2 linked regions of the Neodiprion lecontei genome follow. The protein of the gene in region 1 interacts with the protein of each later gene in a pairwise test. Links are inferred from orthologs where the notes say so. Each region holds a gene or a part of one and is shown on either strand. Other genes may lie near its edges.

The links.
Region 2: the proteins of syntaxin-16 (region 1) and proteasome subunit alpha type-6 interact in a two-hybrid assay, tested with the Caenorhabditis elegans proteins (3 studies listed by BioGRID). The link is inferred for Neodiprion lecontei from reciprocal best matches to the Caenorhabditis elegans genes syx-16 and pas-1.

The regions. Positions count from the first base shown.
Region 1 is NC_060262.1:42,170,617-42,188,286, forward strand, and holds syntaxin-16, read left to right. Parts: upstream 1-9,365; 5' UTR 9,366-9,741; coding exon 9,742-9,822; exon of another isoform or gene 9,823-9,946; coding exon 9,947-10,165; intron 10,166-10,419; coding exon 10,420-10,627; intron 10,628-11,114; coding exon 11,115-11,380; intron 11,381-11,504; coding exon 11,505-11,714; 3' UTR 11,715-11,899; downstream 11,900-17,670. Other genes in the region: XK-related protein 7, read right to left, coding at 260-784; dynein light chain roadblock-type 2, read left to right, coding at 3,256-3,258, 3,322-3,400, 3,511-3,722; XK-related protein 6, read right to left, coding at 5,988-6,484, 6,937-7,089, 7,229-7,571, 7,645-8,022; T-cell activation inhibitor, mitochondrial, read left to right, coding at 12,469-12,491, 12,580-12,694, 12,939-13,330, 13,962-14,274, 14,365-14,465, 14,508-14,669, 14,758-14,889, 15,203-15,437; engulfment and cell motility protein 1, read left to right, coding at 16,952-17,083, 17,396-17,670.
Region 2 is NC_060266.1:19,483,340-19,500,175, reverse strand, and holds proteasome subunit alpha type-6, read right to left. Parts: upstream 15,149-16,836; 5' UTR 15,064-15,148; coding exon 14,988-15,063; intron 14,804-14,987; coding exon 14,709-14,803; intron 14,623-14,708; coding exon 14,541-14,622; intron 13,988-14,540; coding exon 13,558-13,987; intron 13,453-13,557; coding exon 13,395-13,452; 3' UTR 13,238-13,394; downstream 1-13,237. Other genes in the region: chromodomain-helicase-DNA-binding protein 1, read right to left, coding at 1-291, 385-662, 759-966, 1,096-1,408, 1,501-1,660, 1,764-1,927, 2,046-2,215, 2,300-2,488 and 3 more; trafficking protein particle complex subunit 13, read right to left, coding at 9,701-9,793, 9,932-10,079, 10,210-10,310, 10,394-10,620, 10,688-10,784, 10,931-11,054, 11,362-11,489, 11,569-11,653 and 2 more; probable small nuclear ribonucleoprotein Sm D2, read left to right, coding at 12,336-12,478, 12,719-12,974, 13,063-13,167; probable galactose-1-phosphate uridylyltransferase, read left to right, coding at 16,001-16,076, 16,315-16,452, 16,522-16,691, 16,766-16,836. UniProt on the Caenorhabditis elegans protein: The proteasome is a multicatalytic proteinase complex which is characterized by its ability to cleave peptides with Arg, Phe, Tyr, Leu, and Glu adjacent to the leaving group at neutral or slightly basic pH.

The sequences.
Region 1 (17,670 bases):
ATTGAATCAACTTAAGTATTTTCATAATGATCCAACGAGCTTCGCTGCAACGCACAATACATTTCTTTTGCATTATGAAACAACTGTATGTCATACCGTGCAAATTCTCGGAACTGGATCGAGTACTTCAAATTATATAAGCATACTGCGATGAGAAGAGTGGATCATTTAGAATGTATTGCGAAACATAAATATTGCATCAGAAACTTGCACTCTTCTTGCATCAGCTTTCGTCGCAACGGTAGAAATCGTGACTTACCACCTCATAATACTGCATTTTTGCACTGACCCCGGCGATTATTGCCGATGTCAGTATGAGCAGCACGATCATAAAAATTAGGTGTTCCTTCTTATCGGATGTCCAATACTCGATCACAAGCCGAATATTGCCGGTTAAGAAGATGAAATAGCTCACAATGGACCCAGCATTACACGCCAGTGTAAAATTTGAAACGCTGGGTGTTTCGTCGACGGCGTTATCATTTGACCTTGCATTATCTGGTTTCTTTCTGGGTGCGAGTGGATTGCTCTCATCGCATGCATTTTGTGGATCAACTACTGTTAAATTCACGGTACTTTCACTCTCGTTGTTATTGCCGTCTGTGTTCATTGTCATTCCAGTCATATTGAATTTTACAGAGTTATCCAAGTCCTTTTGCTCGTCTATTTTGAATTGTTGTTGCACGTTCGTTTCTAACTGCTGTTGCACATCTGTTGTAACGGCTCGTAGTACGTCCGTTTTAATCGCTTTTTGTAGGTCCATGCCAATTTGCTTATCTGACATGTTGGAGTATGGTAGAATAATCGATCACTGATCAATCTCATATTACACTGTATTACACTGTACTGTACAAACTTTTCTGATGGTTGCGACGCTCGAAGTGACTCCGAGTCGCAATAAGCCGGTATATATATATCACCAATACTCACGAAGTGAAAAAATATCTCGACAAATAACTCTCGCAATGATACGCTATCTGGTGTAACGACGTTTCTTCGAAATTCATCCAGAAGCGTCTCACGCAACCGACACAACCAAATGGTTCACGATCACAAGTTTGGCGGCGCTAACATTCACGAATACGTAATACTGCAGAATTTATCCGCTAACTCAACATTTCAACATTCTTCGACCGCGATCCAAATTATTTAATTTTCTCCCAATGAATCAGCGATCACTTCGACCTCTCTGGATAATAAAAACACAATTCGCAGTGCTTTCTGACACATGCATCAAACTCCTAATACCTAGAACAGCACTTATATTCTTAGCTAGAGCGGTCGACTTGAACTACAACATAATCATATGTTTAACCAAGCCAACGCTCTTTAGCATTCTACTGGCTATTTCTACTCGACTCTAGCTGTGATCAGAAGTAATATCCTCGCACAGAAGTGCTTGCGTAGAACTGCTCATCGCGTTATTTGTCGTAGACTTTCGGTATGCGATCGGCATATTGATTATAAAGCACTGTGCTGACCGTACTGCGTCTTAATCTTCATTGAGAGTTATTAATAATTTTAAAAAATTTAACACTAGGCTTGTATTTTAACGAAGTTAAAGACAGTAAGGTGAATAGTATGGCAAAGGGCGAGAATGGGTTCCAAGGGAACCTCAAAATCGATCGTTCCAGAAAATATAGGTATTTAGATATTTCTGTAACAATCATTTGAAAAAAATGTATTCTAACAGCCACCGGCATATTACGTCCAACGGAATAAGTATCGGAAGAAATTTTTCATTCATCGATTAACAAATCATATACAGATGATTATTCGAATAGATTCTTGACTACAAAGTTCTGTTCAAAGCAATTCAGTGAATAAAATTGAGTAGCTGAAACAGACAAAAAAATTATACTCAGCTTACAATTAGATGGGATAAAATATATAATTTGCAAAAAAGGGGAAAAAATTGATTAGCTGACATAGATAAACGGATGATTAGCAATAACGACGGAAGTGCCTAAACTGACGAAACCTATGTCGAGCCAACCATATCATTCGCGGCAACAGTCTTTCACTACATTATTTCTACTGATAGATACGCTGCGTAATTAGACTAATCCTAGAGAAATACCCTTACCTAAATACGTGCAAACTTACTAACTGACATCATTTACGATAAAATCGATTATTTCTTAATTAAAGTACATACCTTCTAGTTTCATTCGCTATAATGGTTGGTCTAGTTTTCACTTTCTTCTCAGAGATCAATTAATCGGGTTACTTCATTTGGAGCATCGTTAAACGCGATCAATAGTGATACAATGTAGGCTGTCCCTGTAATCAGGTAAGAGAAAACAATATCTGATTACTATTTCACCTTCCAAATTCATACACAGACCATTGGAAATTGACGATTGTTTTTACAAAATATAATCAAGGACTGGATAGCAATAAATTTCAACTCAGAGATAAATTTTTAAATTGAAAGTAAAAGTGGTGTGATAGTATAATCGGGAATGATTTTAAATTCATACCTGTTTTTTATTCTACCACAACATTGTGACCTGTTCAGCTTCTGCATTTTGTTTTCCAACATTTATTGCCAGAGATCAATTGAGATGATCACTAACCTCGATCAATATTGCTGTAGTTTAATTCTGTAATCAGATAAAAGACCACAGCATTTTATTAAAATTTCCTGTCCAAAATCCATCTACTCAGTATTCAAACAGGTGCAATTGGAGTGTTTTATGTATTGTGTCAAGGCTTGTACAATGTTATCGATTACATAATCGAGTAAAAAATGATCGAAATGTTTTATATCTGTTCCTTTTTCAATAAATTCATCAGTTCCTCTCGAAAGTAAGTTTTTACTCGTCAGAAAATCAGGCGAGCTGCGCACTAAACAGTCAAATTTTTACTGAATTACCGTTGCACGCGACGTCATGGCGGTCAAGGCGTAAACCCTGAAATCTCTGTAAGATAACGTTATCGGCAACGCGTTTTTGCATCGGTACATAGACAAACCGGTATTACAGAAAGCTATTATATCAGTCTCCTCGGCCATAAAATCATCGTGAAGTATAGAAAACAATCATTAGCCGCGTGGAGCTTGCCCGTAGTAAATGTATCCGATGCGTTTACGAACACTGGCTATCTTACTACTATGACGTCATCGTAACCTAAACCATTCTGAAAATATCGACTGGTAAGACTGCCCGTTGCCTTGGAAATATACCGTAAAGACGGAAGAGTTAACACTGACGTTTAACAGAAAAATTGCGGTTTGAAATTTAATCTGTAAAGATGGTACGTCAATATAATTCAATGAGTAAATAAATGATGCATCTATAATAACTTCTTTCTCTACAGGCACAAGAAGTCGAGGAAACCATGAAGCGTATTCAATCCCACAAGGGAGTGGTTGGAACGATTGTAGTCAACTCTGAAGGTTAACCATTTCACTGTCTTGTGTATTTTAATTTATTACTGAAAAAACAAAACAAATTCGGTTACTTCTAAAATCAACTAAAATTATATTAAACGAGATAATGATTGTAGGAATTCCAATAAAATCGACGTTAGACAACACGACAACAATTCAATATGCAGGGCTGATTAGTCAGCTATCCGACAAAGCTCGTTCAGTGGTACGGGATCTGGATCCCACTAATGATCTCACTTTCTTGCGAATCCGAAGCAAGAAGCATGAGGTGATGGTCGCCCCGGATAAAGAATTTATACTTATAGTTGTGCAAAATCCTGTCGATTGACAGAATAAATAATTTTTGCATTCTTTTTGCGCCTTGCATGCAATTTTGTAATACATAATTTATATGAGCAACACTGCTCTAATTAGATACTAAAAGTTAATTTAACTGAGCACGCTGCTAAAAATTTAATACCGTTCTTCTCGTCATCTCACATTCTCTACTGCTCTTGTCAAACTGTTGGCACAATTTTAAATAATTTATATACATTAATTGTCCATTATCTATTGTTTATAATTTATTTCAATGTAAAAAAATGTTGGTGAATTTAAAATTGTTGAGTGTATGTCGACGATATTTGATATAAATAAAGTTTATTATAAATACATTTGTTGTTATTTGCGTAATGACTTTGAGTATGTATCAAAACGACATGCACTTACATTAACGATATATTTACAATTCACTAGATTCTTTACAACTGGGTAGAAAGTAAAGTTTCGTCAAAATTGACAAATACTTGAGCTTTGAAATGCGATGGAGATACAAATTATAACTGTTTCAACCTTTAAAGTATTCATTCACATTACGATATTGTTCAAAATGACCTACTATGGCATTTTTTAATATAAGCTGGACTAGATTCTATGTAAATCATTAGTAAAATATCACTCAAGAAAAATAAATCAGATCAACAAAAAAAAATTATTCAAACACTGAAATGCAGCTGGGTATGATTTTTACCCATATCAATGATTGTACGAATAAGGCATACTTCACAATATTATTAAGAGTTAGCAGGAACTTGATATTCCAACTATTTATACCATTATTGTAATCACCTCACACAAGAATATTTGTATAATATAAATATATACATGTGTACTGAAGGAGCACGTAAGTCAGCCTTCTACTTAATCTATTAATATTCCACCATCCCATCTTTGTGCCACTTTTTGCAAAAGGATATAATTTTATAACTAGAGCTTACTAGAAGAAGTCTTAGGTTTGCATGTTTTTATGGGCTTCAAAGATAAAATTCTTAAAAAATAATTCTTAAATAATGTATGTGTAATAGCAGAAAGAATCTAATTAGAGCCACCCTATATATTTATATCAGAACATATGTCACGTTGTAGATTCAAATACCGTAAATTCGATTTACTGTAAAGTGAGAGCGCTTCAATTTTTGAAGTTAATTTTCTAGGTGTTCACGACCTTTTGAAAACTAAATTCTTCTTCAATCCAATTATCATCCAATCAAGTTATGTAATATCAATCATTTGGATACATTGTTCGATTGTGAAATTAAACTTCATTGGAGTACAAGAAGAAGATTGATGGCAACTAGGTATACTTGTTTCACCATATCTTTCTGCAACCAAATTTCGAAATGATTTGATGGATGAGTTGCGATGGTACTAAAACTAAATCGCATTATAATCCATGCGTTTGCTGGGACATGTATTACTGGCGATACATGCCCTGTCTAATAGTAAATAATATACAATCTAAAATACGCTGCAGCAAACGTATTAAATAATACAATAAGGTAACAAGAGATTCTTTAATAATACTACTGCTGCTGTAGCGGGCAATAGCGGCGATGATCTGTTTTCCTTGTTAGACATTCAGAACGTATCACACAAAAAATCCCCATCTCTTTCCGTTAATAAATTCTTCAATAATATAGTACATCAGTATAGTGAGTAAATTACTAGTTTTTAAAATATATATATATAAAACTACATTTAATTTAAAACTACATTTAACTACCTCAGGAAGCCATTCTGCAACCTTTTTCATCAACTAGTATTTGTTCGCGGGGTTTTGGTTTGTTCGAAAGAAATTTTTTTTCATGAGTCAAAATGATCCGTGCTGAACGTCCTGAATATCAATCGTTATGAAAGAAATAAGTACTTGCTAGGAAATTTAGAATGCCGTAGCTCTAGCAAATGCGAAACGTGATAGATGGGCATATCACAGACGTGCAAATTTTATAACCTGACAAGAAAACACAAAAAGAAATTCTATGTTTGAAATATTTACTATAAAAATAGGTAATTACTAGGAAATTTAGAATGCTGCAGCTCCAGCAAATGTAGAACGTGATAAATGGGCATATCACAGACTTGCAAATTTTATGATAATCTGATGAGCAAACAAAAAAAAAAAAAACATTCTATGTTTGACAGATGTACATAGTCATGTGTTTAGATAGAGAGAAATAGAGATTTTCGAAGCGTGGAGTATACATGTTATTTCAAATAAATTGCATGGTACAAAAAATAAGATCGATGAGAAATGAACGCTACTACGAATAATGTGTCAACTGACTGCAGTGACTTGTTCAGGGGGGGAGTTTTTGCGTTTAGTTGTGGGGTGAAAATACACGTAGTAAAGAATCATGGCTGCGATACCTATACAAAATGGTACAGTACAAAGAACTATCAAAAATTCGAAATACCAACGATCTCGGAGCTTCTGATTGGCTTCCGTAGCCCATAAAGCTGCGGCAGCCCCGTTCTCTACGGAGCATAATACATAGTAAAATAAGTGTCTGACAAAAGTATGACCATCGGTTGGATTCAGGTATGTGAATACATAAACGGTGCCAAGCACAGCAGCAAAAAGTGCAGATCTTATTCTCTCGAGTACTGTCAATGGGGAGAGTGGCGAGTTATTTACGTCACGGCAAAATTCTGCTGCTCCGCCAGGCTCTGCAGCCAACCAGGTAGTCATGATTGCCCAATGACAAGCACAGGCTAGCCCTGTGTATAAGGGCTGCATGCTTGCAACAACGCTGATCGACAAGATGCGTGACACTGCAAATAGAATTGAAGAAATGTTAGAATTGCGATTTTTACGACTTCATGCTTCAAAACTAGTATTTTTAATTACATATTTGCGTAAAATGTATAACAAAATATTAATAATTAATGTTTTTCCTATGTCCCTCAGTTATTGTTTACCCAAACAAATGCACACGACTATTTACAGCAGATCTTTCGTCATCTCTATGAATTTTGTTCTACATTTCTCACCCTCTATATTGCAAAATAAATCACAAGAATGACACAAAATTTACATCATAAACTCAATGGACACATATTTTGAAAGTATATCAAACTAACGAAAACAGAAATGGAGAACAAAGAACTGTCCAATAATATTCTTTCACTGAATTTTAATATTTGTATTGAAAAAGACTTTCAGAGTTCATTTCATTCACCCACATTCTCTCTCAACCGTCATTAATTTATGAAATCATTTTTACCAGTAACACAGAAATGCCACAAGAATTGAAGAATTGTTCCAACAAGGTCAATGTTTGGTTTGTCATGTTGAGCCAAACGGATTGTTCGATGATAACTCGCCATAGACCAACCCATGCTCACAAGGGAGCTGCATACGCTGCCTATCTGCAACACTGCAGATTTGAAAAAAAAATAAGAATCAAATATAATCCCAAGTGTAGTATGAAAAAATGTAAGTATGATGAAAAAAGTACATCTTGAATAAATGATACATCGATGCTACATCTCTGCACGATATGTATCTATACGTACATTGAAAAGTCAATTCAGATAAATCATCGTCTTTAAGCAGAATGGTAAGTTGAAGGATTTGCTGAGGTGCAGCCTCGAGGAAACATTCGAAAACTCTGAGCAGTGCAACATTCTGATCTTCCTTAATCATTTTCAGATAATATCGCCGTTGTCCGACTAGGTCCCCAGCTTTTTTGCACCTTCGTGCTTTCATCGCATATCTAAGACTATCCCAGTAGCGGAGAACTGGAGCAAATTGAAACAAAAGCACCAAAATGCACCATGTCTTTCTCCTTGCAGCCCTAGTTGTTGCCGTTATCATACCACCTTGCTTTCCATCCTCGTTGACAGGGATTAGGCCGAGCTATAAATAAACATAAGAATAAATAACAGATTTTTGGAGACGAATGGTAGACCGTATATGCAGCTATATCCACCTGGCGGTCCTGGTAATTTATTCTGAAGCTGATGAACGTATTTACAAATGTCGGAAAAATTATGAACACGACAGTCCAAGCAAAATATGTTATCTTGTTATAGATCAGATATCGAGCCGCTAAGTTGATGTCAGCTCCGATATCGAAAATATGGGTAACGATAGAAAAACTCAGAAATATTATATCCCAACGTGTTACACTGGCACTTTCATCTGGTCGGTCGGTTTCATCGTCATACTCAATGCAACTCTCTGGATTGTCAGTGTTCTCAGCGCAGTTGTTGCCTAACCTCCCTCGCAAACTTTCCACACCTTCATGTGTCCTCCTGGCTTCATGGATGCGCACCGGTGATAGCATGTTCAAATGAATTCCACGCATTTGTTCGAATTATATTAATATATTTATAGTTGCTAGAAAAAAGAGTTGCACTGAAATTACCCTGAATACCAGACGTTTCGCTTTTAGCTAGCCACCCCTTTTTCCGACTTCTACGCCCCCCCTCCCGCACGTTTTGCCAGAGGCGACATATTACTGCGACAGATCAAAATTAGATCGAAAAAATGTCAAGGTCTTTAAACTTTGAAGCGTCTCCGCGTGGACTCTTTTGACAATCATTTTACACCAGCATCGGTATTACGTATCCGCGAAAAAGTATAATTTCGTTCGATGTTTTTTAGTTTGGTTCCAGCTAACAAAAAGGTGAAAATTGCAATAAATCATCTTGTCAAAGCACTGATACCACCCTGTCATCTCGTTATACTCATTATTTAACCACAATACACACTGATACACACCAATGCAACCAGTGAAAATATGTATGCCATTGGCAATATAACTATATCAGTGCCTACGGCGTATGAAATTATTTTGTGCCATTCGTGCCAGCTACGTCACGCAACTCTCATGCTACCCCATTCTTATCATTAGCTAGCTGATTTATCGGTTCAATGAAAATTAAAATCGGTCTGTCTCTTCTGAGCACTTTCCAATGGCCAAAGAAAATTAATGTGTTTTATACCAATTCAATCTAATTCTAAGTCCTTGGGTAATAGTCTTTATACTTTTCCCATGTATTTTATTATAAAGTGGAAGATTTCAAGGACAAAGAGTGCAATTGCTATATAAAACCAATTGATTCGTATCAACGTGTATCTGAACATTTTGCTTGAAACTTACAGACTTATCTTTTACGGAATGAGCATTCGAACGGTTCGGCAACCCTGTTTGAGTCAGATAGGAATCATGCGAGAATATCACATCGTATGTTGCCTTCATAGGATCAGAAAATCTAACAGAGAATTTATGGTCGTGCCTGTTAGAATGTTACGTGACTTTACATCTATTGAATGCCCCGTGCACGTTTGCACCGTAGTTGGCATACATTTGCGTGATTTTCGATCTGATCGTGCATGAACTCATTGCTAAAATCGTTATATGAACTTACACCCTTATTCATAGTCCTTCCTTGAGGAACAAGGATTCCTTGTTCGTGAAACGTGAAATGAGGAACAAGGAATCCTTGTTTCTCAAGGAAGGACTATGAATACGGGTGTAAGGCTCGCGGAAAGTGTGGGCTAGATGAGCCTGAATACGGTTAATATAGAAGTTTCCTGCAATTACCAACTATTCTCTCTCACCGACCCATTAACGTTGACTTCAGACGGTTAACATGCCAACATTCCTAATTTACTTTTTCATACCAAATAATGAAGTTTAGTTACTTGTCTTGAAATATTTATTTCGTCTATGCCCAAGTCAATGTTCGGTATTATAAGTCACATAAACGGATAGAAACCAAGATAGGCTCGTCGTATACTCTATTAAATTTAGATAAAATGTTACATGGCCAGCAATGAAGGTGGAACTGATACTTCAGAAAGCCCTTGAATATCCCAATTAAGAGAAACTAAACGTTTCGCCGTGCATGTTACAGAACAATGGATCGATTCGTTGAAAAATAAAAATTCCGTGGTTAGAAACATGACAACTGCGACTCCCTGTTGATGACGGCTCGGTCTTAGAGCTGTCAAGGTGTAAAAAACGAGAGTGATAAATATTTAGAGTCAGACTTAATAAAGACTGTACTGTAATAAAACAATGGCGACTCGAAGTTTAACAGAACCTTTTATTCTTATGCGTAACAATGCATCACAGACTCGACACATATACTCTGAACAAGTAAGAAAATTTTCGTTAATTCATTTACTGATGTTAGCCCACAGTAATTTCTTCAAACTTGGTTTGATTAACCATATGCCAATTGACAGCAAATCATCATGCGATAATTACTATTTTAACACAGAATTTGTCGGACAGAATGGCTCTTGTAGCCCCGGAATCAATGACTGGAGGTGACGTCGAGTTAGGGGGTTTGAATTTGGCTGGAGATGCACCACCTGCATGGTCTGATGCTCTGGAAGAAACCCAATACATCCTTAGTAGACTGCGAGCAAAGCTTGCTGAATTAAAGGAACTTCATGCAAAGCATTTGACCAGGCCAACGTTGGATGACACGTCTCAGGTATGACTGGAGCTGGCATAAGGCTCTAGTCAATTCATATTGAAATGTAAATGGAATATCTAAGTATCAGCATATTATTTGCCTTCCACCTTTTTCTGCCTCTTGTAATATATTATTGCCTGAAATAGATTTCAGCGAATAATCATGTTCTTTTCAAATGAAAAAAATTAATGTCAGGGGATTTTAAATGTAAATATTTGTAATAAATAGCTCTATTGAAAAAAGTTGAGCATAATTTTGTATGGCATGTGCAGGAAGAAAGGCAGATGGAACAATTGACCAGAGAGATGGGAAGAGCATTTACAAGTGGCCATCGGCAAGTGCAACTTATCAAGACAGCTGCCAGACAAGAAAGTAGAGCAAGTGAACGTCGACTTGCAGCCAGTGCCGCAGTAGCTCTTTCCACTGCTCTCCAGGAGCTGGGGTTATCCTATCGAGCTGCGCAAAGCCACTACTTACAGCGTACTATCACTATTGATATAATTTTATCATCTGTTCAGCCAGAATCCTAAACCTGAAGATGTACATAACACTGTGTTAAAATTAAACTAAAAGTCACGATGTTCCAAGTCAAGTAAAAATTGTTATGTTCAAGTTTGATAAAAGTCAGAATCTTATTCATTACTAAAATGCTGGGGGAGAAAACATAAAAGAAATAGGTTCAAAAGATCTCTGTTCAGTGATGCATGCTCCATTTTATCGATTTTACTTTTATTCACTCAATGCAACTGCAGTTCTCTCTTGGGCAAATTGACATTGATATGTCTATATGTTTTTATCTAGGTTTGATCGCATCTAAAAGAAAAACTCAAATTTATGTCAGTTAAGATCGTGGCTTTGTTTAAATATCTGAAGGCTGAAACACAGAATCCGATTCACAACATAATCGTGTAAAGATTATTCAATCGTCATCCAGGCTTTATCTAAATGTAATCCATGTTAATGACAGAATTGAATTCGAGAGAAGAAAGAAGTCGGCAGTACTTTGAGGAAGATCAAGAGTTTGTTTCTGTTGAACCATCGGATTCATGGGCAACAGATTTAAAGTTTGCTCAGGTTGGTGGAAGTAACTATGAACAACAACACGAACGGCAGTTGCAGCAAGAGGTCCTTTTGGAATTTGATGACGAAGAGCGGACCAGAGAAGCAATGATAAGAGAACAAGAAGTCGGACATATTGTACAGAGCATATCTGATCTAAATCATATATTTAAGGTAGAGATTTACCATGAAGTTATTTCCTTGCTTCAATACAACAATACTTGTAGATTTTTGATACAACCAAATAAAACAAACCAATGGACAATCGTTACTAACAATCTGCTTATGATTTTTGTAGGACCTGGCACACATGGTTCAGGATCAAGGTAGCGTATTAGACCGAATTGACTACAACGTTGAACAGACACAGATACAAGTGCAAGAGGGTTATAAGCAATTAAAAAAAGCTGATACGTACCAAAGAGCGAATCGCAAATTATACTGTATTATGGTGCTAACAATTAGTATAATATTCCTCAGCTTCCTCTTTGTTATATTCAAAACCTAGTACAATTGTATTAATAATATCACTGAATTAAGTAATTATCGTCCCATGGTTATTTAATTAATTAATCACTACAATGTCGAATTTATCCATAGGCAATTCATGTGTATGTATGTACGTACCTATGTACAAGTATAATAATGATATGTAATGCTGACAGCTAATAAATTATCAACTATTTATTTAAATGAATATAACCAGTTACTTGGCGTCATTGTGCTGCTCGCTGAAATGAAAATAAAAGTTGTGGAATTTCAAGTATCCACCAATCAGATGTAACATATCCTAATCAACCTAACCTTACATCTACAGAAAATATGCATGACTGCTGTGTGTTAGAGGCTTGAGCCAAGTTCGAAGTTTCATCTTGGTGATGACGCTGTATCAGTTACTGTATTTTCAAACGAATCATCGGTACTAAAAATTCTACGGGATTAAAGGTAGGGTGTATTCCGTTGTGTTCCGAGATAAGCTGCCGGTCCTAAAAATTTCTGAAGACTGAGAGAGAGCTCAGGAAAAATCGGGTAGAGCAAGAGAGATAAAGACAGCAAGCTGAGTTCAGAACACAACACATTTTATTATCCTTTCACGTTCGTTGTTCAAGGTGACGTGACGTACGCGACGATTCGTGTTCCGTAGATTTTCGAAAATATTCAATAGTGTACTAGATAATTATCCTAGGAATAAATACAGAGTGCACCACAGAGTTCACTGAAACATGAAAATATTAAGAAACTAGCAGAACTTATTACTCAAGATGTATTGCACGTTAAAAAAATGGTAAGCCAATAGATATTCGAAAAATACTGCAATTTGAAATTAATTTCAAATTACTTTTTGTCTAAAAATGATTTTTCTTAATATCCAGCATCCGCAGCCAAGACGCTGTAAGGGCCCTAAGCACAGGTGAAGTATCTACGGCTTTAAGACCCTTCTATTTCTCTGTGCATCCCGACTTGTTTGGCCAATTTCCCACACAAAGGGTAAGTCCTTGTTTTCAAATTTTTGTTTTGTATTCTGTGATGACATAAGTTATACTGCGTGTGTTTCTAACATGGATAGGTATAGCGTTAAGATCTGGCAGATTCTATGTTATTTATATCGTACATACTTGTGCGTGAAAGAGTTTCGTCAATCCTTTGTTCATTCACCGATTTCAAGTGCTGTACAAAAATGCCAACACTGGAGCAAATATTAATTATAAAGTTTGCTTCATTTAATCTCCAGACTGTGAATGAAAACTCCCTGAAGCAGTTGAGTTCTTTGATTGAAACTCTGCAGCAACGGAGGCCAATCAGGCCGACTACGCTGCCCTTTTATCTACGCTCAAAAGACGAAAAAGAAGTCAAGGCTGGAAAATTTACCTTGGTGAAAATACAGTTGGCAGATCGTGATGTCAGAGAAACAATTCTGTGCATACTTAAGGCATGCAATCTTTCCACAACTTTCGTTGATAAAATAGAAGAGAAAAAACCACCAGCTTCAAAGCTAAAGTCACAATTTTGGCAGAGGTATAGAGCACATGATGGCAGAATTGATTTTTCTGAACTTGAGGATGATCCTATCTATGCTTCCATTATTATGAGGAGGAAAATCAACTTGGAACCTGACACGTTCAAGTAAGTGTATGTATCAGCCCTAAACGCGATCAACCTTTAATAAAATTCAGCTCTTTCTTTGGTTGGTTTTCACAACCGTCACCTTCAACGTTCAAGACAAGGTTCACGATGTATCAGTGCATAGACGTTGTGAAATGTATATGCAAAGCACAAATAAGTCTTTAAAATTCTGTCATATCTTAGAAAATTTGGTAGAAATCCATTAATTACTGATGTTATTATATATTTCCACAAGTAATCATCTAATGCACGCAGCAAAAATAAACTGCTTTCAATTTACTTTGATAAACCAATTATTTTTATAATGATCCAGAACAAAAAAGATGAAATCAGGATGATGATATAAATAAATAAAAGATGGGGTTTAAAAAACGGCTGCGACCACTTTTCATACACATTCAAAGAAAAATCAGCATTACCTTCAACTAACGAAGAAGCATTTTCTTTCTAATCAAGTTATTATAGGTTTCATGCATTCTATACATTGTGTAATAATAGTGTCCAGAAAAAAATGTTGAGTGCCTGGAAATGTCAGAAAATTAGTACATAATTATATAAAAACTTATACATAAGTATATTTTGGTTTGTACTATGGATTGTTAAGAGTCACAAAGATGTTTTGGTGTTTCAGAGCATATTTAGAAAAGCATAGCAATGAAGCCCTTGTGAAATTAGAGGCATGTCGACCGATCCGTGAGGAGGTGGCCAAACTAGAGAAAGAATTATGTTTAGACTTGGGCTTGAAGAAAATAGTTTGGGACTGCGGCTGGAATATTGCTCACTATCGCGGTTGCTTATTAGCCTTTCTGGCACTCTCCAAACACCATCCTGAGCCCATGAAAGTTCTCCAAGGTAGAATTCTAGTCTTTGCTAATGACACAGGCATCAATTTGGAGGGAAATGTAATGTTGAACTCTGGTGAAGTGCGGCACAACTGGCTTGATGTAAGACATGTTAATAGATACAAAATTTTGAAGTAGAAATTGAGTGGTAGTCGTTAAAGTAGTATGTGGTTTTAACGGTTAACATTGCAGCTAGTGAAGAATGTGAAAAAACAAGATGCTGTTCTGCTGCGGCTCCCGGCATTTGAAAAGGCTGTCTCTCAAGTTCTGCTTGGCATCAAAGTTGGAAGACGGTGTGTAACGTAGAGTAGGTAATGAGTGACGGTAAGGCTCAGGGTGCAATTTATGTGCAGGAAATTCATGCCGAAGGTCATGGTGGATCAGTACGAACAACAGTTGCGTCAGTTAACTACTACTCTGAGTGACTATCGTAGCCGTAGAAAATACCCGACAGATTGGCCCGAAGATCTGAGCGCTTACGAAATTGTAGTCGAAACGTAGGTTCTTCAGAGTCTTGTGCTAATTTTTTTTCGAATTTCGATGAAATTGAAGCAATTATCATTAAATATCTATTCTTTTTAATAGCGAAGCTGGGCCTCTGATGCTATCACCCACAGGACAATTCATCGTTCCATCATCCTGCCCTAGTTTTCTATTAATTAGCTTCATCACAGAAAATTTGAATGCAGCTACTGAGAGATTAAATCATTACAACAGGTATGTTTCTTCACAAAATTATCAGGGGTTTTACAAATCTAGGAAATCGAAAAAACTGCCAAAAGTCAATGAACTCAATTACTGACTTAGACTTGATGACACAACAGCGAATCATTTTGGAGTATCAGCTCAGCTGCTGTTAAAAAATCTGTGCGAGAATATTTCCTTGTGGCACAAATGTCAGATCGACTATGTTATGCCCTTATCATTTGTAACTAGTTGTGTTGCAGACAAATATTTTCATTACACTTTGTGAATAAATTCGTTTTATTGAAGGTTTTCAAAAAACTTAACAGTTTAATGTATTTTTCAGGGTGAAACACGTAGAACGAGAGCTTCATAGAAAAGTAGCACTTGAGCTAGAGCTGGCAGCGCTAGATAAAGATGATAGCATAACACCAGATTTGATGATAGAATGCTGCGAACACCTTTTGCAGAACAAAACTGTTCTAATGCCAATGCTTTCTGGGATTAGGCTATGGGTCACTCACTACTATTCAGTTATGAGCGATGGAGTCTTATGTATACCATGGGACTGGAAAATATGATATAACAAATGTTTCATGATTTTCAATATCTTTAAAAAGACTTCAATAACGGTTCAACTATAGCGCATATTGTTGTAATTACAATTTTTTTATTTTTCTTTTGAATTTTATTTTCAATTTCGAAAGTTTACCTATTTTGGTATATTCTTTTAATGTATATTAAGCAAACTTGGAATGTTAAACTAGTATAGATTAGTCAACGAAGGTTCTTTTCATTCGAATCGTAATGAGATAATTCTGTGCCATTCTTAGTAAGCAAACAGATTCTAATTCAACACTAGCGAATTATATTTATATCTAATTTAGCAACGAGACTGTAGTACTATAGGTAATGACTGTACAGACAGTCTTGTATCACAGTTTTAGTCAATTATTAACAATCGTATTTGTACAATATCGGAATATCGATCACATTCTAATCAAATTTGAATTCTAAAGGGTGCAATTATGGTACATGTAAATACATTTTTATAAATAATGACAATATTTTTTGTCAGTGTCGCTATGTAATCTTGCGAGCAAAGTACATGCATTGGTTAGTATGTTTCATTTACTACTTATGCGTAAGAATAAAAACAAAGGCTGTAAAGATTATGAAGAAATTATGCATGAAATTTAATTTGAAATATCTTCTGCAAGTCCAAAATAAGACCCAGTCTTGTCAAATTTTTCATCTAAATGATTAAAAACGCTTTATTTAGAGTACAGACTTCAACAACTTTCTTATGAGTCAGTTTTTTTGACAGTGCTGGGTAGGAAAAAACACAAATATACCACATATATGTATGCCTGCGCTCGAGATCAGCAAATAAGGATTTTCAATACAACATGAGCAATAGTGCCAACAAATATTAAAATAATGTAACTTAATTTTTTTCTAAAATTAGATAATAGCTTATATTTTTCTAAGCTTGTTGTAACAGGCTGTTGTATAAAATGTTGTTTGCATCTAAAAATAAGTAGAAATAATGAAACAATTGACAATAGCCATATGACATTATTATCTTGTAAATAAATTGACCTTGTTAGAAGAATTCGTTTATTTTCTTGTCTTTTCACACGGACCGTGGACAAACAAACGCCAGTCGATTCTGAAGAAGTCTGAAGGGTATATTCCGCAACTTGACAAAGATTCGGAATATCATTGTCTTATTTTAATTGCTATGATAAACAAGGATAAAACAGCGAATGAGATTAGTTCGGAATACATCTTACCAACCTTACCAACTAAAGTTTGTGAACGCAGCCCAGAATTTCATTGTCATTTTCCTAAACGTCAAGTTCGTGGCACTCATTGAGTTGTCGCGTAGTCCGTTGTTGGGAGTTGTGTTTCATGTTGCGGATTCCAGATAAATAAAGTTGTGAACGTGATTAGTGCGTAGATGACTAATAACGGCTGCACCTTGATGCACAAAGTTCACTTTCACAGAGAATAGCAATAAGCTATTCTCTGTCATTTCATTATCAACCAAAATTGACTGCGGCTGACAATCACCACTACAGTTCGGTGTCCCATGTACACAAAAACAATAAAAATGCCAGCCACGAAGGATTCGAATATTGTTAAAATAGCCATAGAAATGGCCGATCAACAAGCACAATTAATTGAATTTAATCAAAAGCAGCCTTTGACCGGAATAATTCAGGTACATACATACTTTAATTAAATGAAGATTGAAGAGCCTATTCATCCAACCTCCAGTTTACTTTTCAGCGAATTATCGACTGCCAATAGTACTGAATGCGGATATTCAACCTAAGGATCAAATTAATCTAAATAAAAATTCAATATCTGCTATGCTCTATGCTTGTTGCACATCCTTAAAATATTTTGACTTGATAAAAGTATAGTTTGTTGCATACATTGAATTCAAGTAAAATCTTTGGTCATAGCGACAATATTATTTATAAATTATCTATTTTCTGATGAACTCATCACTGTATATTTCGTCTTGCAGGAACTGTGCAATGCTTGGGATCTCTCAGATCCCGACACGTATGCTCTGCAATTTTCAGATAACAACCATAACTATATAACAGAAAAAAATCGGAATGAAATAAAAAATGGAAGCATTTTAAGACTGGAACATTCACCTTCAAAAACAGCCAGCGACATACTAGCTAAACTAAACAATGGCAATAACGATGAAAAAGTTGCAGCACTCCAGAAATTAAGCACTCTTAGCAACGACGTTACATTTGCTTTGGAATTTATCAATAAACAAGGCTTGGC
Region 2 (16,836 bases), on another chromosome or scaffold:
TGATTGCAACATTTTTTCAACTCTATAACAATGTTGAGAAACGTTGTCGTCGATCCCTTAACACCCTTGCGAAGGGCATTATAATTTTTAGTAAGTATCCACTTGTAATACTGTTTTTGCAAAGAGGTCATCTCGACACGTAATATCTGTTCGACTTTAGCCGGCAATGATTTCTCTACGTCTTTTTTCACTCGACGCAAAATGAATGGTTCCAATTGCCTGTGAAGCTTCGAGTAACCCTTTTGCGCCGCGTTGTCATGTTCTTTTTCAAATTCTTCCCAAGAGTTGAATCTATGTGTTTAAAAACAATTGTAATACATGCCGTTTAAAGAATTCGAATCAGTTTCACCAAGTACTTAATACAAATAAAAAAAATTCACTCACTTGTTAGGCATTATAAAATGCAGCAATGCCCACAACTCTTTCAAACTGTTTTGCAACGGAGTTCCGGTGATAAGAAGTCTATGATTGGTATGAAACTCTGTCAATGCTTTGTATAAAAGTGAATCATCATTTTTGAGACGATGCGCCTCGTCGACGAGCAGTGCGGCCCAATTTATGGCCCCCAAGAACGTTTTATCCTTCAAAACTATTTCGTACGTCGTCAAAATTGCGTTGAATTTCAACCTCTTTGAACTATAACACCATTCGAACTCCCTGATCTGTAAGCCGTAAAAATACATCAAGTAAAACAAAAATAATAATAATAACAAAGAGAACATTGAACAAAAATATTCTGCCAAATTCACAACACTTACCACGTTCCTAGACGTCACATCACCAAGGTAAGTTACAAAATTCATATCTGGTGCCCACTGTGCCATTTCTCTTTGCCAAGACGTCATCGTAGACAATGGTACAACCAATAAAAATGGTCCATACAACTGTTGCGTGTGAAAAAGGTAGTAAAGGAAGCATATAGTTTGTATAGTTTTTCCCAGACCCATCTCATCCGCGAGAATAACACTGAAAATAAAAAAATAAACATCAACAAATTATTAATAATCTTTGATTCATAGTCATGTGAAATTATCGGCACTTGCTTGATTTTTGATAACGAATTTCGAATATATAACATATATCTCATAGCTTTACCTATTCTCTTTACACCAAGAATGAATCAACCAGTTTAATCCGTCCATTTGATAGTCTCTCAAGACTAAATCTTTCCCCCTTCCCATGTATTCGGGCTGCCCTTTGACTTGATGAAATTTTGGTCTATACTTTAATACTTTACAGTGTTTACTCGGTGTTCGTTTCGAATCTTCCCTATCGCGAAATTCCTTGATCTTCTCAGGCCATTTTTTTATTATCAAAGCTCCATCTTCCCACGTCGCATCGGCATATGGTAAACTTTCCCATTTACAATAATAATCTGGATGTCCAGAATCCGGTTTGTTATATTCAGCTGTGAAAAAATATTATTTCAACAAATAACGGCGCAGATAAAATTCGTCTAGTCTTTTATCCAATCAAGTACAACAATTAACAAGTTTTTACCAATTATCCGTTCTACGTAATTGTAGCTTTTCAATAAATCCTGTTGAAGTTCCAGCTGACATTCGAAGTAGTCTATATCTTCAGGTCCAGCATAGTCTCTCCATTGTTTGATTTCCCGTTCTCGCTTCACGAAATTTTCTAATTTTTTAATACCCTTCACCTACGACAAATAAAATAAAATATCGGTTTAAAATGTAAAATAGAATATACTCCAGTTTCCATCCACAACCAGTCTGTATAAAAGTTCGAAAATTTTCTCATACCTTTTGCGCCTTCAAAGAATCCTCTGATTCCCACGTATTGTGTATATGCGACCAGCCTTTCCATTTTATTAGATACTGCGTCTCGGCTTCTTCGTCCGCCAAATCTGTAGGATTCAGATCACCGTTTTCTTCAACAGCGTAGACAGTCGTCACATTTCCAGTAACTAACAGTAGCAAAAGTTTATACACGTTCGTTATAAAATGCCAGAAATCGTAAGACGATTTGCTTGTGTTGCGTTCATGTGATTTTGCTATAATTCGCATTGATTTACTAAAACTCACCTCCTTTTTTTCCTCTTCTCTGCCCCAGAATTCGTTCAATGGTTTCGGCATTATCTGGTTCCAACGGAGTCGCCAATGCTTCGTCAACCTCGACTATATCCTCACTGTCAGTCCCCTCTTCGCTCTGTTCTTTGTAACTGACTGCAGTTCCAGCCCGTCGCGTGACTTGCCTAAATTGATATTTATCGTGTGTTGAATTACCTAACGATCATAACAGCCCAAATAATTTTAAATTAATACTGATGCGTGCTCACCTTCGATTATCATCGCTGTCAAACGAAGAATTCTCCGAGGATTCTGATATTCGTTTATGACGTGAACGAGTGTTTTCTTTCACCTTTTGCGCTGCTCGACGATTTATCGATTTACTTGGCGGAGGTCTCCGTTTAGTAGCTTCATCCGATTCTGATTCTGAACTGTCAGAATTCCAGGAATTTTGAGTACTGAAATAAGAAATGTTGCAATGATAAGTAAACGAGTGCCACTGTGAGATGTTATATCGCGTATTAAGACGTTACACAAAACTCGACGACTAAGGCTTGAAGCTTGGAAAACAAATCACACTTGGAAATTAATTTTTAGCTTTATGTTAGCCTGTTAACAGCGATTAAAAAGTCTAACAATTCAAAGAATACATGATGATAACTTAACATGGAAAAAAGACTTCCTGATTCAAGTTGACGAGAATCAATGCAATGCATTTGTTGCGAGAAAAATTTCAACTTGCTTATGTGGGGTTTGCTGAATTACAGAAGAATTGAAGTTTCATAATTAAGACTTTGATATCGCTTTCCGCTACCGTCAAATATCAGTGTAATTGTAATTGAATTTTCGAGCAATTGCATTTTTCTCAAATTTTATCACAATGAAATTTCCTTACGATCACAGAAATCCCAAAGGATATAATAAAATACTTACTTATGATAGCGTTTTATCTATTTCATTCTCCTTACCTTTTTTTTTGAACCTTCCGTCGTACATCGCCGTCGCTTTCGCGTTGCGTAGTGAGCCTCTCTGGTTCCTTGCGGGATCTCCCCGATCTTCGGATTCCATAAACGTCTGGGTTTTCATCCCATTCACGACTCGAGTCGCTTTTATGTCGAACTTTTGTCTCTGAGCTATGTACCGAGCTTTTACTTTGAATGCTAACGCTTTGTGCAGGAGTATCCGATTTCGACGATTTATCTGACTTTTCAGAGTCCGAACCTGATGCTGAACCAGAACCGCTTGAGGAGCTAGAGTCACTGCGTTAGCAGCCAAGCAGTTTTGTTTTTTTCGTTATACTAGTATTACTTTTTTTTTTTGTCACCCCCTTTCAAGGGGTTGGTTAATATTGGTAAATGAATGAATGAATGAATAAATAAGAGATATCTGTTGACTCGCATAATGATTGACCGTATTGTAAGTTTCGAGATAATATATTGATTCAAACAGAAGATAAGTATTATCTCTGTTGAGAATTAAAATTTTGTTCAGGATTAATATCTGATAACGATAATCGTGCACGTGTTGCTCGCTTGTAATGTGTCAGGTTTAATTTTTTCAATATTAAATTCTGACGTCTCAGTGTCTCGTAAAATATTGATGAAATATCTATAATTGTATGATTAAATACAAGACTGAATTAACAAAATGACTATATCATTATTCAGCTTTTACGCTCGGATGTAATACATTCATTTCATTTCAATACGATTTTACAAACATTTTAAATAAGAAATATTTTCATGTGTGTAGAAAATGATACTGTTCGATAACTTTTCACTCTGGGAAGTAGTTGTTTATTGTTGTCTTTAGCGTAGATCAAAATTACAGTGACTCTGGTATTGACATAATATGATGAAACGATGTAGTAGTAATAAGTAAGGCAAACACGCAACTTGATCTAATTCTCACTCCTAAACTATGATTTAAAATACAAATATTCAAGAGCATTTATCACTTTATAGATTATCATAAAGTTTTTCAAACTTAAGTTCACAAGAAATATGAAAAATTCTATGTATCCCCCAATCTAATAATCGAAACTACTAACGAAATAGAATCGTAATAAGTTCATAAATTCTGGCCATTGTATCCAGAGCCGAGATGATCTGATTGTAATAATCATTAGCATGTCTCTAAGTTTAATACAAAGTTTAAAGTAAATGAAAAAAAAATATTTATTGGTAAATCAGAGTATGGAATGTAAAGTGAAGAAAAATGTACAACTTTTGTAAATTGAAACTCATTTGTGGAGTGGCAGGTAGTACAATGCCTCTTTTTATTTATTTTCCAACATCAGCTTCAAAGAACAAATAACAGTTAGCCGTAAGATCAGCAAGGTAAAGTTAGTACTGGCGTGCAAAGCTTGAGCAAGTAGCTTGATTGATTTTTAATCACGTGAAACTTCCAGAAGTATCGATCTGATCTCAGAAAAACCACAAAACAAAATTTTAAATACTGAAATTGGCTTTTACCTAATTTTATTAACCATTCATCCGATCTTTTAGTATTCACACAATACGACGTCCAATGGAAATCATAGAAGATCTTACTCATTCTTTATACTTTCTATCTCTGAATTCGAAGTAAGTATTTGAAATATAAAGCATACTTTTAGATGTACCAGAATTCAATTTACTAATTGTTTCCAAAAATATTCCGAGACTTAAATCAGAGATTATAATTTGCTTTTTTAGATATCCAGGTTTTCCCTGATACAATTGGACACCGTGTGTGTTATTACTAAATTCAATTCTTTCAATTCACTGCATATACACACCTGTCTGATCCAGAACCAGATCCGGAGTTGCTTCCGGATGATGAGCTGTCGCTCTTACTCTCGTTCTCCGAATCTGAACCAGATTCCTTACCAGACTCAGAATCTAAAGTTTTCTGTAAATGCAATTCGAAATATACAATCTAATAATCAGTAATCGCTTATACAGACATCTATATAAGAAAGAGCAGATACCACGGTGTTGTTTGGATATACTGTGCTAATATTTATCCAGTAATTCAATACCAAGGATATTATTAGGAACAGGAATGATAATAATATTAATAACGCTAATAGGTTTGACTATCTGTTGCAAATATGTAGTAGAATTTGTTATGGATCTATTCAATTAGACAGTGGTATATCATATACAATTTCCTGTTTACGAAATTCCGTAGATTGCTCAGCAGCCATTTTGTGGAATTCATCCGCCATTTTGTTTATGCCATATTATACCAAAAGCAACGAATTTATTGCAATTATAGCTTGCCGATATGGCTTGTGTTGCTTTGATAATTATTCTTAATCACCGCGAAGTAAAGCTGCTGGTTTTATTCAGATTTAAAACTACTTTGCTATCCTTTTCTCAAGATTTGCAAACTTATTGTACTTATACTGCAGGCATCCCAAGATCCACCTTATCCTTTGTCCACAGATGTCGATGGTGATGTAAATTCTGTGCCTTCTTAGCTTACGGAATCAGATCATAGAACAAATGATGCAACCTTGCTTACTAGATAGCTTAGATATATTATATACAAGGATGGAGATAAAATGACTTATATACTGTTTTTAAAGTGTAATAAATAGGTTTATTTATTAATACAAAAGTTACATCAACATTTCAGTGTTGATACAATCATTTGTGTACAATATGTAAATCCAGGTGTTTAAATAAGGTAATCTTATATTAGTTGTTATTTTGCATCAAGATCTCAGACAAAATTTACCCCACAAACATTGTCCAGCGAACTTTACATATTTGAATCTCTAACAGTTTGGTGATTGAGGGAAAAAAATATATGTGTGATGCGATAGCTCTTCCAAGTATCGAATGTAGATTCCTAGATATGTAAAAAGCATAGGAAACACTGATCAACGATAAAGAAATAATATTGAGTGATAAAAAACTGAGTTCTACGCGTTCCAATAGAAAAAATATGAATATACACTTCGCAAGGAATATTCAATAGCTGTAATGCAATTATTTATCACTAATTTGAATCGAAACTATGTGAGAATTAAATGATGCATCCCAATTAAGTTATAAGAGAAATAATACCAGTGCCTAATGGTAAGTATTAATTTGCATTATAACCATCAGATGGAAGAACAAAACTTTCATTGCCATAAATAATGCTAGTTTCTCTTTTCTTTTATGATATATCTATACGTATATATTTACAGTGATATGAATAATTGCTACTTGGATAAAATCTTCAACTATATAGAAACGAATAAGATGATTTGATTGACATTCGAATTCAGGAATACGAGCAAATAGTAATATTGAATCAGAGTAGTTATTATAATTTATAAAAGAAAAAACAACTAGCAATGAAAATAATTCTATGTACACGATACGCTTTCACTATCGAAATCTTTTATCTCTTTAGTTCAAGTTAGCAATGAGCCTTAGTATTTTATCTATTTTTATTTTTCTGTAGTTGTTCAATTTGCGAAAATAGTTTGTGTGGCATAACGAGCTTAATAAAAAAAACGATTGAGGACCATTTTTCATTTTGTCGCAAAAGAATTGAATAGCATTAAAAGCACAAATATACTTTTACAATAGCAATGCAATAAATTTTTAGACGAATGTTACAAAAATTTACGTTTTACTCAACAGTTTGTTTGCAGTGAAAACCAGACTACATTAACAATAAGCTTGTAAACAACATTTCTTAGCAGATGAGTATGGCTGTCGAATATCAAATGGATGTCGTGATTAAATCTGATTAATTTGGGCTTTTAAGCCGTACAGTGCAGATATTATTGCCTTGTAGAAAGTTGAATAACTTAGGTGGGTTTGAGGATAAAACTGATGCAAAACATATTGGCACAATGTTTTATCGATACTGGGAACACTGCTGTGTTTACGCACAATGAAACAAAGCGGTTGAAGCAGTAAAAGTATATGAAAATGATGTGGAAAATGATGGTCAAAGTTTGAATAGAATAGTAAGTAAGTTTGGAAGATTTGCCAAAACCAATGGCAGTAAGGATTATAATTTTTGAAGTAATGTCACAAGGCAAAGAGTTGCAGGTTATGTGGATAGCGTGCGGCCCAAACTTTAAGCTCAATTTGCAAAAATGGGTCCGTCACGAATATTTGAATAACTGTTACCAAAGGTTGGGAAAAATAGTGAGGAATGGTTTTGCGGGAAAATATGGTTGGAACATTGACATTTTAATTGAAAAAACTCGTTGTTAGTAGAATGTAAACAAACTTATAGGTTATTTGGATGATCAAGACTTTGTTAATTTGTGGAAAATTCGTTCAACAGAGAGACAAGTCCCTGGGCTCAGTCGGGGCACAAGGCCCCGCCCTACACGTAGAAACCCTTGAAATACAGGTGTAAATAATAATTTTAACAATTATCAAGCATTTTCTAGCCGCAGATGATTAAAACACAAGTCGCAAGGGGTATTTTACATTATTCCAAACAACACCGCGGTCGCATCGGGCAAATTGGTATCGCAGATAAACGGTAACGCTCATATCATAAATAAAAACAAATAATTATCGATGAAAATTGCGAGAAAAGCTCGAAAATTGACTATTTTTCGTACCCGTCCACTCACCTGCATCATTCCCCTTCACGAGTAAAACCAAATTCCTTATTTAACGTCGAATATGCACTATTTCACCCCCTGTTCACCCTTCCGATTACGAAACAACAACGTATTCACGATACTAGATATCACTGGTTATATTATATCCCGACATTGTTCAATAATATCGAATTTTCCCGTACTATATGGTCACGGACCTGAGCTTGGCCGCCATTTTGTGATCCCGTCTTGTTCGTCGCCCTCCTCGATTCCCCCCCTCTTGCGTCCCTCTCGACGGTACGACGTACCATCATGCATTGCGCGCGCGGGACATTACCTCACCCCTCGCGCCTCACCCGGCGCCATGGCCGTTTCAGGTGAGCGCCGCTGCGTCACGATTTCTAACTGCGTTTACATGGAACGTATGACGAGTAAACAATTCAGGTGGACATAGGACATATTTGTTGCCCAGTTACAGAGAAGAGAGGGGAAAAATACGATATTAATAATGGAGGATGAAAATTCAAGAAAAAACATCCTGCAACGTTCCGATCGATAATACATCCGTCGAATATATATGTACGCGAAACCGGCGTAATTTTCATCATTGATTAATCGATCGCGTGACGACAATGTGTCACAACATTTGGGTCATCGAACAATGAATCGGAAAGAAAAGAAAATAGAAGTAGAACAAAGAAAATTGAACATCGAGACACAACCGTTTGGCTGACATTTTTAATTGTCGTGTGGGGGGAATGCCTGAAATTGACCCAGAATACTACGCGATTGTTATGATTATTATTTCTTTCTTCATAACGACCTTGCTCACGATGCGGTGTCGAAAGAGGAAAAATCTTCGATCGCGACACACAGTTTCCGAGAATTAATTTAAAGACAGCAGCTTGTTCCCTCTTTCTATCGTTGGCGGGTTTAACGGGTATAGTTCGATGAGTCTTGCGATACATAAAGATTTGATTTCGAATAAATGAACCCAGAGAATTCCTCTCATCTCTCGCTACAATAAACATTTCATTGAAATGAAATTCGAGATTCGAATATTTTTGTACAAAACTTGCAACGCGTAGTAGGTACGGGTATAAGTAGGTAGGTAGGAAATTACGTATCCGTACGTGTGTCTGTGTGTGTGTCGTGTGTACACATACATATATGCATTCATCGTTATGTAAAGTGTTAGTGACGTCATCATGCGGGTACAAAGCGCCGCTCTAAGGCGGACTAGTAAACTACAAAGCTTTCATTTTCCATTACATTGGGACAGGGCCGAAAGCAGAGCGTAATTATTGTTTATACAATGGTCTGTAAAGGAACGTATGCGTAATTATTTTGCATTAAAACAATACATGTAATTTACCCAATCCAATGAAATGTAACGAGACTTTTTTCCAAGCAGTAGGACAAGTGTAATTTGTACTGAATGAAAGACGAAAAATATTACCCGGAGACCCTGTGACACAACCACAACGGAAAAGGAGGAGTTTGACGATGCTGATCGAGGCCTCGAAACTCGATCACGTTTAATGCAACAACTTCCGATCGACGCATGCTGTCGAGACTACATATCGATGTTCGATGGATCGAAAAAATCCGTAGCGATTAGTCAAATTCCGTGATATTTTTGCCTAAAGGGGAATTAGATATCTGGCATATTATATGTATAGATCAGATTCTTGCTACCTTCTTTATAACGCAAGATTCATTGTATGATTTATATTAATCAAATTTTCGTCAAATAATTGCAGAATGTCACTGATGTATTGGGGAAAAAAAAAAAAATCAACTTGAAAATGATTAATTTTAATCATTAATTTCAATCGATTAGTTATTTCTTAAAATTTGTCATAACTTAACAAATCTGTGGCGATGAAGAAGGAATTAGGTTGTACAAATTTGTCATTGTTAATAATGGTAGGTAATTTTCGTCGATAGGTAATTGGTAACAATATCATAAAATTTCAATAAATTGATAATAAACTTTCTTTCGTAATAGATAATTACATCAGATTTAATAATTATTGATCATATTTACATATTTATACAACAAATATTATATTAGAATCTCTTTTCCAGTAACACTTTCTATTAGTATAAATAATAATTAGTCGACTTGATGTACAAATATTTGGGCGAGGTCATCATGATCGTAGACACGTTTTAAAAATGTGTCCACTAATTTCAAACCTGAAACAGTCTAAAGGCGAAAATGATCTATCTTTAGTCTCTCTTCTGAAATCATTACCCATTATAATATATTGAAAATTATTTGTTTTAGCACTTTTCACTATACATGCAGCTTTGGATATGAAAATCTTTGAAAATAAATACTCACAACAAGCCCTGTGTCGAGTGGAATTAAACACAATGGAATGTCGCACGATGCTCCCGATTTAAGAGTTCCTATCACAGTCTCAGAGACTCCGCACCATGCTATAGACTTATTAGATTCTAGGCCCAACATTATATCCATACTTCTCTCTCTGTAAACAAAACATATATTGAACTGAGCATTATTTTTCATTGATGTTATTTTATTTCAATTTGAATACGATAAATTCGAAAGGTTCTCTACACATTTATCACTGTCAATGAATGCTTTCAATTACTCACGAAGTATTTACAATACGACATTTGAAGTTCACTGGTTCTTCCAGGTATGCAATAGGTGGTATCTCCTTCATTGTTACTCTCAAGTCTCCAAAATCTGGAGCCTTAAAGACAACCGAAAATCAATTAGATCGAATACCAGCTGAGCTTTACATGTTAAACGCATATTGCAGTTTTTGAAACAAACCATCCTCTGCAGCTGACTCGTTTGTAGGCGTCCTCTTTCACCCAAATTACTCCGCCAAACGATATCAAGTTTTCCTATGTTAGTTGCATTATGCATCATTTTTGGATCCTTGGTTAAGCTCGGCTGAGGAGTAAGGCAGTATAAGTACTGCCGGCTCGATCCAGAATCTAATAGATTCACTCGCCCGTAAATAGACTCACCTTGCAAGTTTGTGTTCAAGGTTGTTACTGTGGAGAGTACATTTTTAGTTAAAATTTTTCGTTTCCCCTGCCATAGTTACAAAAATTATCTCACCATTGAATAAATGGGATGACTCAAGTGCTACTTTCTCCAAACAAATCGGACCGGCAGTTTGATTCTGTATTTGAGCCTCCAGATAAACGTCGTCAGACTAGAAAAATCATATGATTAATCGTAAACTTTTTACATTTATAACTGGGTCCTTTAATTATAAATTAAATAGGATAACAAATTTTCATTAATGTATTCTTTGTCATAGTTTTCAAACAAAGATACCCTAAAGGAAAGATCATTTACCTCTGCATTATAGAATTTGGTTTTAACATCGAGTGGTTTGACGACTTGGAACTTGAAAAATTTGCGAAATGATAATGGAACAGGTTCAGAAACTGTGGGGGTATATGTAACTTCGCAAACCAATCTGAAAATGAAATTGTGAATTTTTATTTTCGAAACTTCGCAGTTCAGGATTGAAGAGAGTGGTTTGCTCACAAAAGTACACCAGACGGTTAAAATTTTCAACCAAAGAAATAACACGGATTGCTAGTAATCTGAGATTTTATAAAAATTGAAGTTGTCAAATTCCAATAACTATAGATTTCACAGAGTGGAATCAACAAAATTTCTACCTGTAAACAGGAACCCAATAATCTCTGAAAAATTTGACTGTACTACAAAACACCAAAATATAATAAATGCCATACTACAGAATAGCGCAACTCTCTTACATGTGTGTCCCAATCTCTTTAACTTCGTGATGGATAACTTCGTCCACTGTATTATCAGGGCCTAGTTCCTTAGGCATACCGTTATGACCAGACAAAGGTATTCGTTGGGAACTAGTTTGAAGATCAGCCTGTAACAGATTTTAGTTAAAGCATTATTTATGCCAACTCAAATGTTGTCATACAAACTGAAAAATAAAAGAATCTTACTTTCACCATCACGTCTTTAACTAATTGGGAACTACCGTTGTGAACGCATAAATAGCTCGAGAATATTTCTCCCAAGTAGATATTACTGAAACAATTGTAAAGCATTTATGATAAGTAAAATTATCGGTAGAAAATGGAAAAAATTTTTCATCTCGGCCACTGTGATCAATTATTACCCAAAACTCTGTGGCAACATCATGAATTGGCCAACAGCAAGGGTCTCCATTCCCTGGAGGGAGGTGTTGTCATTTTTAAGCTCATTATTGAGCGTGTTACCTGGAAGATCTGTCGAGTCGCAAGAGACAATTACTGGAGTAGCAAGTGTCGGCCTGGTAAGCCGCATAACTAGAAATAAATAGAATTTAATGAAGAAGTTTTCAATTAACAAAACACAAAAATCAACGAATAAGTTAGGCGTATGAGGCAGTTGACATGAATTTCCTTACTCATTCAATTATACAATATTTTGAGAACTAATTGGTCATGATTGTTCAAACGCACCTTTTAACGCTAACAAATGTTCACTTTTCGGTTTTGCTTCCATTTCTCTCGTTCGGTGGTAATCAAGTAATAAATTCCTTGTTGTTTTTCAACAGTCAATCTGGATCTGAAAAATCTGGATGCATAACCTATGACATCTGGGGGATTCTTATGTCAAACATTGAAGCAGAGACCTACTCATCTCCATAGAGCTCATCGCTGATTGGAGTTAAGATCGTAGGGAATTCTGCGGCTGAAGACTGGCAATTTTGTAACTAGTAAAATAAATGAACAAATCCGGAATCTGGGTGATTCCGGCACAACCACAACGTTTGCCCGACGAAAGAGAGACGCTTTTCAAGATTCGAGAAAAAATTGATGATCAATTGAAGCAGTTTATAAACAGCAAGAATTTTTCCAACAACATAATGTGAGTGTGCTCTCAATAATATTGATCAAATTATCGTTGAATCTGATAGCATAAAGTAGACGAATTATTTCCAGTTTAGAAGTCACGAACAAAAACTAACCTAACTTAACCTCTCATCAAGATTTAGAATATTTTTTAAATATGATTTATGACCATACTGATGTGTTAACTTTGGCTAACAATTGAACTCTGTTTTAAACGTGATACAACAATTTCATTTCAACAAATGTTCGATTACAGGGCGTCGCTAACCAAACCAAAGTCTGAAATGACACCTGAGGAACTTTCTAAAAGGGAAGAAGAGGAGTTTAACACCGGTCCCCTGTCCGTTCTGACACAATCTGTTAAAAACAACACCCAGGTTTTAATCAACTGTCGGAACAACAAGAAACTGCTCGGCCGAGTCAAAGCATTTGACAGACACTGTAATATGGTATTGGAAAACATCAAAGAAATGTGGACAGAATTACCACGGACTGGAAAAGGAAAGAAAAAGGTAATAAAATCGAAACTGACCTCACTTACCCTCAAATTTATAACTGATTGTAGGTAAAATTTAATAACTGTATGATTAAAAATTGCAGGCTAAACCAGTGAACAAAGACCGGTTTATATCAAAAATGTTCCTGCGAGGTGATTCGGTTATCTTGGTGTTGAAAAACCCACTTGCCACAGCATCAGGCAAATAATATCACTAGTTTGTAAGAATTTTGTAATTATTTTTAACAAGCTGCGATTATATTAAAATAAAGAACCTACTTTAAGCCGTAAGCCAGAGTTTATTTTAGCGTACTTCGACCTATGCATACTTAGTACATATCATCGATAAGATTGATTATTCAGTAAAAAAGAAATCAGATGACACTTTGTGATTAATTACACATTTGGTCATATCCTTTCGACCCGATCTCACCAATTAATCCTTTTCTGCAATTGCGGTCAGATGCTTATCGATTTCTTGCTCGTTGAGAACACTAAGAAGCCATGAAAGGAGAGAAAGAACGAGTTAATCACAATGTATAACTGCAAACAATTGGTTTAAAAAAAAAGCGACATATGAAAATTCATTCATGAATTACCGGAACTTCGGATTGCTCTGGGAGACAACTCCGACCTCAATTTCAGTTGGTTTAAAATCAACAGAAAGAACGGTCGAAAGACAAGTGATAGCCAGCTGAATCGCTTCGTCGTGATCATAGTTCTGCTTCTTTTTTAACTTTTTCTCCAAGTACGAGTTGGCCTCGGTTTGTTTAGCACCAACTGAAATTGCTCTGTAGCCACAAAAGTACCCTGCAGGATCAGTTTTATAAACACAAGGCCCTTTCTCCTGATCGTATGCTATGAGTACCATCGAACATCCCAGAGGCCTCATTTCCGCATTTTGAGTGTAAATCTGACTAATATCAGCCACACGGCGGCACAAAGTGTCTACAGGAATGCTGTAGTCATGTTTGTACTTGAAATGGGCAGCTTCGTAACGAGCACGTTGTACTTGAGATTTGCTGTCAGCTGTAAAAATATCAATTCATTAAAGATTCGTTCAAGTATCATTGTAAAACATAATGTAATTTTTATGATTTAATTAAATCGTTGTAAATAACAGTTTTGAGTATTATTATGAAAAAAATATACTCCACGATTAAATATTAAGTATCCTGAAAAATGATGGTTCTGTTTTTATAGCAAAATTTGATTCTCAATTAATGAAACCTTTTTCTAGAAATGTATCAAGAGCATAAATAGCAGTATTCTTAAAAATAATTAAAAAAAAAAAAAACACCTAAATTCCATAGGTTTCATGCTTAGAAACAAAATCTATGTATGCAGGTATACGTCGGGTAAGTTTCAATTAATCAAGGGGCCACACTTGAAAATGGTTGGTGAAATTGAATTGGTTGGAAATGATTCTTAAATTCACAATTGTCAGCAGAAAATATCTGTGACAAAAAGATTTTCTCGAGATTAGTTTGGATTGTGAATAAAATGTATAATGCATATCAATACAACACTTTTAAAACTCTCAATATCACAGGTTAAATACGGAAACACTTTAAAAATTTACCAATCATCCCAGTCATGACGCAGCCAATATCTTCAGTCAATTGGAAAACGTGTGTAACGCTTGAGGCATCGAGAAGCTTGTCCTGTAATTTAGATGAAAAGTAAAATATGAGTCAATGATGTGCCAATGTAAAACCGTTTTTCTCCTCAATCTGACAACATAACCTACCGGAACTTTTTTTTGTGTAGCAAATACCGCGGTGTCGACGCCTTTAAGAGCGACGGAGGTCAGGCCGCCTTGATTAATAGCCTTAAACGCATATTCTGGAACACAAACAACGTTTTAATTAATACAGAATACTATCCATCAAAAAGTGAAACACTAATCACGCCGAGTCATCATAAACACGGTAATGAAATGTCGAATATTGCACGGAATACTCGCTCGGGGATCGTCGGATTTTTCGTAAAGAAAACGGTGATACTGCCGACTTTTTTGCAGACTTACCTACTTGGTAGAGCCGACCTTCCGGCGAAAATATCGTAATATGCCTGTCAAAACCAGCGCTACTTCCTCGCGACATTTTCGCTCTCTGTACTGACGGCTTTGCTCACAGTCAGTTTTGCGCTGCTGTGGGGGGTGGGGGCGTTCCAAAACGCCACCTGAATGAGTAGATTAGCTTTCTTTTCACTCAGGGTGCGTTCCGATTCCGAACTACCTCCCAGTGCTGTCAACAATCTTTTATCACTTTTGCACTGCCGAGTTCGTGGGTAGGTCTGCCTTTGTCCTAGGGAGTTTTTAGGGCTGTCAGCCTATTTCGGAACACACCGTTTAGTCACCTGGGTGGCATTTCGGAACGCCAAGGATATCTGATTTTTATTTCATCAGTCTATTGTCTATTCTGTTACTATCTATGAGATTTTTAGATGGCCGTCCGCCGATATAAGCGACCTCTTTGTTCTGGTTTTGAAACCGCGGCGATTTGACACATTCGACCAACACTTGACACTTTCGAAAGTACATATCTATTTTTAAATTAAGTCCAAAATAATTATCAATTTCTAAAATAAACATATTAAAAAGATCAAAGTTCTTACAAAATGATGAAATGAACAGTTCAATTTTTTTCCTTTCAGAGGCTTAAAAAATTGATTTTGTACACGCGTCAATAAGCAAGTATATTTTGTTATTTAGCATGTATGTACTTCCAGAAAAATTAAGTGTCAACCGAATAATAAATATTTGTTTTGCGGTATATATTAGCATACACTTTCTTAAAGTATTTTCTTTTCATTGTCATTGAATAGTGATCAATTTCTTCATTTACATCACATACAGTTGTAATAATCAGGCAGCATGATCCGAGATAACAAATGACGATGTTATCAGATCCGGATTACGCTACTTAGCTATGTCATGTTATCTAGTATCTAGTTGGTAAAACTTCTAATGACATAATGTCCACATAGAGACTCGGTACCCTGAGAAGCACCGAAGAAAAATCGATTTGACACGTCAAGATGAGTTCCTTGGAAAAGTGTGGTAAGGATCGCACTAGAGATGGTAATGGCAAAGCAAAAGGGGTGTGCGATATTGGTGATTATAAACTTCGACGGTCGAACTGCAGATAATCGACAGTATGCATTGTTTAAACTCCCTTGCTACAGCGTTTCATACGCTATTGCGAAACTGAACGCATGTGACTCATAATCATTATATTGCACATTCTTGCACTATTATTTTCAAAGTATAAGTACAGCAAAGGTCACAGATATTGTTTTCATCTGGTGGTGATTGCGTTAAGTTTGATTTAAATTTTAATCAATTTTTTTAGGTAAACGAAGAAGGTCCAAAGAGCTTGAATGCACTCGTGATACCCCGAGCAAAGATGAATCATTGATGTCGGAGAAAGGGCAACCTTCGAGTGTAACCTGTGGAAATATGGCGACTAACCATGACTTTGATCCAACAGGTATGGTCGGGAATGATGCATAGGTATACGGATGTTTGTATATGCTAGTTATTTAATGTTGTTTCGCAGAACACCAACACATCAGATATAACCCTCTGAAAGGAGAATGGATATTGGTATCCCCGCATCGTATGAAACGTCCTTGGGGAGGGCAAGTAGAAGATAATCTCGACGAAGAGCTTCCCGAATATGATCCAAAGAATCCATTGTGTCCTGGAAACGTTAGGAGCAGTGGTAAAGTGAGCAGAACCTGCAAGAGATAAAGAAAAGTAGCGCAACTTCTCAAATACATTGTGATAACTGTTGTTTCCAGGTGACTCCACCTTACCGCAACACATATTCATTTGAAAATGACTTTCCCGCACTGTTGGAGTCTGTTCCAAG